Linked DNA regions of Daphnia pulex. The protein of the gene in region 1 purifies or fractionates together with the protein of each later gene. This does not show direct contact. Links are inferred from orthologs where the notes say so. Each region holds a gene or a part of one and is shown on either strand. Other genes may lie near its edges.

The links.
Region 2: the proteins of ATP-citrate synthase-like (region 1) and stress-induced-phosphoprotein 1-like fractionate together in Homo sapiens (co-fractionation; 3 studies listed by BioGRID, with this or other methods). This does not show direct contact. The link is inferred for Daphnia pulex from reciprocal best matches to the Homo sapiens genes ACLY and STIP1.

What each region holds. Positions count from the first base shown.
Region 1 is NC_060018.1:8,031,112-8,035,417, forward strand, and holds the start of ATP-citrate synthase-like, read right to left. Parts: upstream 3,082-4,306; 5' UTR 2,881-3,081; intron 2,271-2,880; exon of another isoform or gene 2,266-2,270; 5' UTR 2,252-2,265; coding exon 2,096-2,251; intron 1,942-2,095; coding exon 1,819-1,941; intron 1,704-1,818; coding exon 1,641-1,703; intron 1,571-1,640; coding exon 1,377-1,570; intron 1,274-1,376; coding exon 799-1,273; intron 354-798; coding exon 196-353; intron 122-195; coding exon 1-121. Other genes in the region: probable C-mannosyltransferase DPY19L1, read left to right, coding at 3,489-3,555, 3,638-3,755, 3,825-3,957, 4,021-4,293. UniProt on the Homo sapiens protein: Catalyzes the cleavage of citrate into oxaloacetate and acetyl-CoA, the latter serving as common substrate in multiple biochemical reactions in protein, carbohydrate and lipid metabolism.
Region 2 is NC_060024.1:9,161,113-9,165,608, forward strand, and holds stress-induced-phosphoprotein 1-like, read left to right. Parts: upstream 1-1,681; 5' UTR 1,682-1,891; coding exon 1,892-1,903; intron 1,904-1,979; coding exon 1,980-2,553; intron 2,554-2,610; coding exon 2,611-2,744; intron 2,745-2,800; coding exon 2,801-3,070; intron 3,071-3,126; coding exon 3,127-3,304; intron 3,305-3,378; coding exon 3,379-3,540; intron 3,541-3,595; coding exon 3,596-3,699; intron 3,700-3,765; coding exon 3,766-3,929; intron 3,930-3,990; coding exon 3,991-4,063; 3' UTR 4,064-4,269; downstream 4,270-4,496. Other genes in the region: thiamine transporter 1-like, read left to right, coding at 1-167, 245-372, 438-630, 693-834, 891-977; endonuclease G, mitochondrial-like, read right to left, coding at 4,270-4,496. UniProt on the Homo sapiens protein: Acts as a co-chaperone for HSP90AA1. Mediates the association of the molecular chaperones HSPA8/HSC70 and HSP90.

The DNA.
Region 1 (4,306 bases):
AACCGACTCGCTGGGGATCGGACGTTTGCCAAGCGCCATGCCCACAACGGCAGTCATGTGGGTTTCGGGGCCGAAAACATGGACGGGTATTCCCAAATTGGCTCCCACTTCTCGCATCACCCTGACCAAACAAACAGACAAAAACGTGTTATGTTTATTATACATCTATAATTTTTGTTGATTAAAAACAATTACCGAAGACCCTCCTGGTAGTTGGGTCCAGCTCGGCGGACAAAGATGGAAACCTTATGATCCACCAATTTGGTCTGGTACTGCAACAGAGCCTTAACGATGCCCTTAAACGTGGCCGCAACGTTAGTGAAATTAGCGATTCCGCCTCCAATGATCAGCACCTAAAAAAGTCAAGAGAAACCGGCACTATCAGGTTACCATCAATTCACACGAGACGTTCTTTAAGTCATTTAGGTCACATTTGAAATTCAGGGGTTTAAAAAAGATGATGCAATCCTCACGATCACGCCATGTGCGATTTATTAAAGAAAAAAAGATAACTCGATATCAGGTTTTAAAAGACACTAATCAGCGTATTATTTCGAATGTTGTCTTTTTGTAAAAGGACAACCACGAAACGACCTTTGAACTTTTTTCATTTCGAAAGGCCGAAATCAAAACGCTATTGAAATCGAGATTACTTCACCAAAAGTCCTGTGATAACAACGGAAACGGCGGTAATGTATATCCGCCGAGTCAGAATGACACATCAAAAGTACCCCGTGACTTTTTCCCCTAATTGTTGCAACCCCCAAAAATCAGTCAAAACTAACATTGGATCAATACCTTTCCGTCTGGATGTTTATCTTGGGTCATTAGACTGAGAATGGTTTTAGCATACTCGTAAGTTTGCTGCTCAGACGGGGCGCCCGAGTACTCGCCGTAATTAGCCAGTTCGGCAGCGCCGCCCAAATCGCAAATGGTGTCGGAATAAATGACCGAAGCGCCTCCACCGGCCACCATGGTCCAGATGCGTCCAGCCCTGTTCAAGATGGTCAACTTGAGCGAAGCGCCACTTTTCGAATCCAGGTCGGCGATATAGGCCTCCTCGGGATAGGCGTCGCGGCCGAACGGAGGCGGATATTCGATGCTTCCCCATTTGGTGCGACAGAGAAAATCGGCCGTGGCATCGATTTTGGCCGCCAAATCCAGCATGAAGACACCGCCTTCCGCCGTCACCACCAACGGGTTGATTTCCATGTAGGTGAAATGGAGATCGACGTAGACATCGTAGAGGGCAACGATATAGTCGGCCACTCGTCTGAAATGGTAATCGAAATTCAGCCAATCAACATTTGTCCTTTGACTGATAACAAAAGGGAGGAAACTTGGCAACTTGAAATTTTTCGACAAATTGAACCCACTCTTTTTTGGCATCGTCGCTGACGTTGACCAGCAAACCGCTCAATATATCCTCCCGGCTGGGTTTATTGTCGATTTCCACGGACAGGCGCAAAGCTTTTTCGTCCACGTCGCCAATATCCACGCCTCCTTGGTGGTGAAAGAGAATGACGTCGCCGTTGCGTTCAGAGTAAACGCAAACGTATGCCTCCTCCTCCTGTTTTTATTTTATAGACGCATTATAATTTCACAACATATTGAGCACGTTTCCTTATCTATATGCTTACGTCTTTGTGTGCAATAAACGGTTCGATAATGAAACGACGCAGTTTACCAGTTGCCTTGCCCACCTGAATAAATAGATTTAATTCAATTTATCAAACATTTCTGGCATTCCATAAAAAAAAATATTTAAACATAAAACAAACAAAAATACAAGATTAAATTTCAAAGAATCAAAATTACCTGGACGTCTTTATCTATCCTTTCATTAACCCATTCTTGGACTTGAGTAAAGTCCACATTGACCTTGATGAGACCCAATTTTCCACGTCGCTTTATGAGCTGATCCGGCTTCACCACCAGTTTCTGTACACGATTTAAAAGCATAAAAAAATAAAAATTTATTATCAATTCGGGCATTTCCTACTTGAGAATACTCGGAACGGGACGCAGGGACAAATGTCATTCATTCGAAGAACTGTTATTATATATTTTTCAAAAAAGGAAACTAATCACTCACCTCGGTTTCGAGCCAAGGTTCCTGCTGGACAAGTTGGCTCCATGAGACGCTTTGGTCATAGACAGCGAAACGACACTTGGCCACGCCGTTGGAGTAATTCAAATTCCGGTTAATCAAGTCCTTGCCCGTTGCTTCCCAAATGGCTCGGGCAGACATTCTGTATAGATAGTCTAGACTTCAAAAGGAAAAGAGGAAAGTTAATTTTGCCGAATCGCAACCGCGAACAAAGGTGAGAGTCTTCTAGGTATTGATCGGTTGTCGCCCACCCTTCTTTTTCCTACGCTCACGCAGACGTCAGATTCAGTCGGTACACCATCAAAGCAACGGTGTAACAACTGTAACAGATTCAGTTCTATTCTATCTCAAAAAGATCTTAAAAACTATAATTCAGTTTGATAATCTAAGAGAAAGATTTTCTGTTTTAAAAGACATACGGAAGTAGAAATCGTATGTTAAAGCCTAAACCTGTTTGACGAGAAAGAAACGATAACCTCGGGGCAGCTGGAGAAAGTTACCCTAACGGTGTACTGATTATACAGTGATGCTCTCAAATAACTGGGTGAACATTTAAAAAAAAAATCTAACTAGGCTATTGGAATTCTTTCTCATGCCCTATAATAGTTAACTTAGCACCCATAATATAAAAGGTTAATTTAATCCAATCAACGGAATCTGAATGATTCCGTTGCAAACGCAGTGACATGGTCCAGCAGACAATTTAAATATTCGCGGACAAAACTGAGATATGCACCAAAAACAGAATAAAAAAAGAAATTAGTACTTACGATTAAAATTGATGAAAATGAATCGGAATCTTCGTTAATAAATTCTAAAGAGTTAAAAGAAGTTAAAAGAAATGATTTCGTGGAATGTTGAGTGGAATTACGAGTGACACGTTCACTCGTGAGTCGTGAAAAGGTTTGACAGGAATACTGACTGTGCCACAGTGACTATGAGAACTTTGCATTACAGGAAAGGAAAATATAATTTCTCTACCTGAATCATGCATTACCGCCATCTAGTAAGTAAAACTGCAACTATAGTCACTTTTTCAATTGACGATAAATTTAATTAACATTCCCAAAAATGATGATTTCAATCGATAAGAATAGCATTACGTATCACACTTGCGTAATGAAAATTTAAAAAAACAAATCAGGAGTAATTTATTTCATGTTACTTACAATTCAAACAAAATTAGGCTAGCCATCTGTTATTCTTTTTTAGTACTGCCAAAAGTTTTAAGTGTTGCAACAGCGGCACAGACGACGGCGAGAAGATAGACAGCTGCCGCAAACCAGCTGACATTAACTAGTTTTTTTTTCTAAGCAATCAAAAACAAACAAGAAAAAACAAGCAACACGTGGTGAAATAATTCGGAATTTGAAGAATCATGAATGATGGAGCAACCTTACCAACAACCACCCATTATGCGCAGTACGCACTAATTGTGTCCATTGGTTAGTTATACTTCTCCCCTAAAAAATTTCCAACATATGTTTTAGTTGCTGACGTACAATTTCTCTCGTGTACTATATTTAGCGTTAGTGTGTAGCTGCCTCAATTTTTACCATGTATCTACAATGTTTGAAAATGATCGACACTTCTCACATCTCTCTACGCTTGAGAGGGAAATGACCTTCCGTTCTGAGATGGGCTTGTAAGATTTACTATTTTTATTCCTTGATTTTCTATCCCTATCATCAAATTATTTATTCTTTTTTTGCAGCTACTACTCGTATTACAAAAGGATTGTCAATGCACCGTCATTCTTCTTGGGACTTCACAGTATAATGAACGACAACAAAACAGAGTATCCGTCAACCATCAACACATTACAGAGATTTAATCTCTATCCCGAGGTACATGTGATATTTAAAAACTTGTTCATTTATCTTTCTAAATATTATTGGAAATCATTGCAGGTAATTTTAGGAGCTGCATATAGGGGTTTCATACACTTTACAAATACTGCCGGAATTAAAACTAAAGAATGTTGGCAAGTTGATCGCGGAGACGATCTACCAGCGGTTTGGAGCTGTGAAGGTTTAGGTGATCCTTCCTATTTTTACATTAATGGAGTGTGGCTCTGTGCAGGGATCACAGCCGCCCTAATTTTCCTTTACGGTTGCTACCTAAGTCGTTCAATATTTGGAGGCATCATTGCCATTTCTGCTTTCTTTTTTAATCACGTAGAGGTATAATTCTGAA
Region 2 (4,496 bases), on another chromosome or scaffold:
CTGGATAGCCCGAACATGGGTCGTGTAACGGATGGTGTTGATCAAATTACTTCCAATGACAGTACCGCTTCGGAAACCGAGTGGACATTGGCATCTGTCTATCAACTCCTATGGATCGATTTCAAGTCTTCTTTTTCAAATGCTTATATGCTCAAGTGGTCCCTTTGGTATGAATTATTGATGAGAAAGCCTTCGTGATAATATGCAGAAAATGTTTCATTCTACATTGTTTTTCTTTCTATAGGTGGGCGTTTGCCATGTGCGGTTACTTTCAAGTACTTAATTACATCCAACCTCTGTGGGAAACAGTGGCTCCGTCAGGAACAAACAATATTTACAACGGCGCTGTAGAAGCCACGCATACGTTCCTCAGTAAAAGATATAAAGAAATGTGTATGATTCATAAATTGAAATTATAATCATGCTTTTTTTAATAGGTGCTCTCGCTACCATAGCTATTGGCTATGCGCCCGTCAATTGGTCAGTGTATGGTGAACCTGTAATAGCTGTGATATCATTATTTGAAGGTGCCATGTTATACTTAGCTGGCAGTTCTAATGAACTGTGGGTAGCGTACGTTACTTACATGGCCTTTTGCATAACGTATAGTGTTCTTATTACAATTGCAAGGTATGCATTTCATTGTATGAGATCTTTTCGGATTCTAATATTCAGTTGCTTTTTTAATATAGTTCGGAAGTAGCAAAAGGATTGAAACAGGAAAGCTATGGTCTGGTGTTTGGAATCAACACATTTCTCGCCCTGTTTTTCCAAACTATTCTAACTTTGATTGTAGCAGATAGTGCTGGATTGGCGCTCGAACCTCCGGACCAGGTATTATTAGAAAATTTTTCTTGGAAATTTAAGAATCTAATTAATAAATTTTGTAGTTTAAAGTGTACGGAGGCTATTATTTTGTCCTGGGTGTTGTGTTCATTTCCATGGCCGCCTATAATGCCGGACGTAGAAGTAATTGATTTGGCTAGAAAAACTAGCGCACTCGGTATTTATGATTTCGTTCTTCATGAACGTTACGCATCTTTCCAGTGATAGACAAATTGTTGGTATGTCAATGTTACTAGTCTAAAAAGTGAACCAGTGAAAAAATAAAAGTTTGGCACAAAGTATTTAATAAAAAATTCAAATGTTTTTATTTTAAAATTTTCTTCTTTTATTAGAAATGGCATTTATCCGCATTTATCCTTTTTTCTCCAAGCAATAAAAAAGCATTTGTATTATTATCGTATTTGTTTTTAAAATTAACTAAAAATCGATGACTTAAAGCAATAGCTCCGAGGAGGCGCAGACAGAAAAATAATAAACGAACATACAGCTACGCTTCAAATTTTTTCTTCAACAGGATGTTTCATTTCAAATTTCAAAAAATGCATTTCTTCGTTTGCTGAAAAATTCGTAAAAAATAATGAAGGGAGAGCATTAGCCGCTAGATGACGTCTGTTTTCATGGCGGCTTTAGTTGCTCATTTTAGAAGGCAGAAGAATAAATGTCTCAAGCAAGAAATAAATAATTGCCTTTCACATTAGTTTCAAACGGAAAATAAATGTATACATTAAATTATCCACGCTTCACTGATATGTATTTTTAATTGCACAAAGTGGCTATTAATGGTTCCATAATCTACCGCTACTATTATTGTAAGCTCTGCTGCTCTGGCCGTAGTTCTAGTAAGCTTTGAATTTCGGCGGACAGAAATCCAGAACCTTCCGTCGTCTGTATCGTGTGTAAGCCTTTTCGCGAAGTTTCTCGTGTCCCTCGCTCTCAGTATCGAAATCATTCCCCACTTGGAAACGTTTCATTGACAGTGTGCAGGCGTGTGAATTTACATCAACGTTTCATCCGTACCTTCTGATCGCGATTGTCTTGTTTTATCATGGCAAACAAGGTATGGAAATTAGTATTGTACTATAAAACTGAAAGAACTAGGGTTTTTGATCATTACATTTGTTCTATAAATTTAGGCAACTCAATTGAAAGATCAAGGAAATGCGGCCTTGTCGGCTGGTAAATTAGATGAAGCTGTAGCCCTTTACTCAGAAGCATTGGCTATAGACCCAGAAAATCATGTTCTGTACAGCAATCGGTCAGCTGCATATGCGAAAGCTGGAAAGTACCTGGAAGCTTTACAGGATGCTGAGAAGACTGTTTCATTAAAGCCTGATTGGGGTAAGGGTCATTCACGAAAAGGTGCTGCATTGGCTTATCTTGGCCGTGATGTTGAAGCTCAAAAAGCCTATGAGGAAGGACTCAAGTATGACCCAAACAATGAACAACTTAAAGAAGGTCTTCTTGAAGTGAAGAACAAGGTTGGATCACAAGGAGCAAAACTCATGAATCCGTTTGCTGGACCAGATGTCATGAACAAACTACAGAACAATCCAAAAACAAAAGCAATGTTTGAAGATCCAACTTATCGACAGTTGATCCAAGACCTTCAAAATAATCCAGGTGCGATGGCCACCAAATTGGGTGATCCAAGAGTTTTGGCCACCCTCAGTGTCTTGCTAGGAGTGGATTTGGAGGCTTCAAATGAAGGTATTATGTGAAAACAAAGTAGTGGACAATAGTAACTGAAAAGGAGATGTTTCTCAGGAGATGAACCAATGGATACCACAGAACCTTCACCACCACTTGATCCGAAAGAAGAGAAGAAAAAAAGGGAGGAAGAAGAGAGAAAGAGGGAGGAAAAAGCCAAATATGATGCTCTACCAGAAGAGAAGAAAAAGGTATGCCTAACATGTGTGATTTTCTCAGTTATGATAACAACAATTATATTTAATAGGCTCTTGATGAAAAAGAAAAGGGAAATGCAGCTTATAAGAAGAAAAATTTTGCTGCTGCAATAGAACACTACAACAAGGCTGTAGAGCTAGATCCAACTGACATGACTTATGTCACGAATTTGGCTGCTGTTTATTTTGAACAAAAGGATTACGAAAAATGTGTGGAACTTTGTAAACAAGCAATTGACATTGGCAGAGAAAATAGGGCCGACTTCAAGCTAATTGCCAAAGCTTATACGCGAATTGGCAACTCGTATAAAAAGCTAAAGGTATTTGACATTATTCAAACTATTACTGTACGTCTATTTAAAACACTCTCTTTAAGGACTTGGCAAATGCAAAATTACATTTCGAAAAATCACTCTCAGAGTTCCGCTCGCCAGAGACAAAAACATTGCTATCTGAAGTGGAAAGTTTGCTTCGTGAGGAACAACGCAAGGCATACATCAATCCGGAAATTGCAGAGCAAGAAAAGGAGAAAGGAAATGAATTTTTTCGTAAAGGTAAATCTCTTTTCCGGAAGGAGAAAGTAAACTCAGTTAATTTATTATTTGTTCTCTTGAACTTCCTTACATAGGTCAATACGCTGATGCATTAAAATGTTACTCGGAGGCGATAAAGCGTAACCCTGGCGACGCTAAAGTTTACAGTAATCGTGCTGCCTGCTATACAAAGCTGGCAGCTTTTGATTTAGGTTTGAAAGATTGTGATGTCTGTTTAGAGCTTGAACCATCATTTGGTAAGAAAATGTTTTGGTCTATAGCGCAGTCTGATATTTTTTAATGTCTTTTTAGTTAAGGGATGGATTAGGAAAGGAAAGATTCTCCAGGGAATGCAGCAATATAGTAAGGCTTCTACCGCTTTTCAGAAAGCTATGGAGCTTGATCCAAACGCCTCGGTAGTTTTATTTATTTTGGTTGGTTAAAGAAAAATCAACTCACTTTTTCTTGTGTTTTTATATTAGGAAGCGCTTGATGGCTACCGCGCATGCATGATGCAAACTAACTCAAATCCTGAGGAAGTGCGCAAAAGAGCAATGGCAGATCCAGAAGTCCAAGCTATATTGCGTGACCCTGCCATGCGTATGATTTTAGAACAAATGCAGAATGAACCTCGTGCTCTGCAAGAGTAAGTAGCGTATGTATGTTAAGAGTGATGCAAATATTAACAAATTGTTTATTCAATTTAGCCATCTAAAAAATCCTGCGATTGCTACTAAAATCCAGAAGCTGATTGAATCTGGACTGATTTCCATTCATTAATTAATTGTACCATGCTTACTTTTCTAAGAAATCAAGTGGAGTCAAAATTTTGATTGATATGATTGTCAATTCTTGTATTCTTTTTCATGAAATATAAAAGAAAAAGAATATTTGAAATGAAAAATTTAATTGTTTTACATGATTGTACTATTTTTCACAAAGCTCTCAAATAATGGGTTGTAGTACTATCATGTATGCACTGTAAATTACAACCAAACTTGGCTTTTGCCATTTATAGTTTTTAACTTGTCAATTGACAGTTTGTCAAAAAATAAAAGTCCAGCAGCTCTTTCTACTGTTTCTGGAGGTACTTGAAATACAGACAGTGGAGTTTTGTCATCTATAGGTTGATTTGGCATAACATAGGATTCCAAAGAAAGCTCTTGTTTCTGATTTTCTATGACTACGACTTTGAAGAAATGGGTAGGCACTG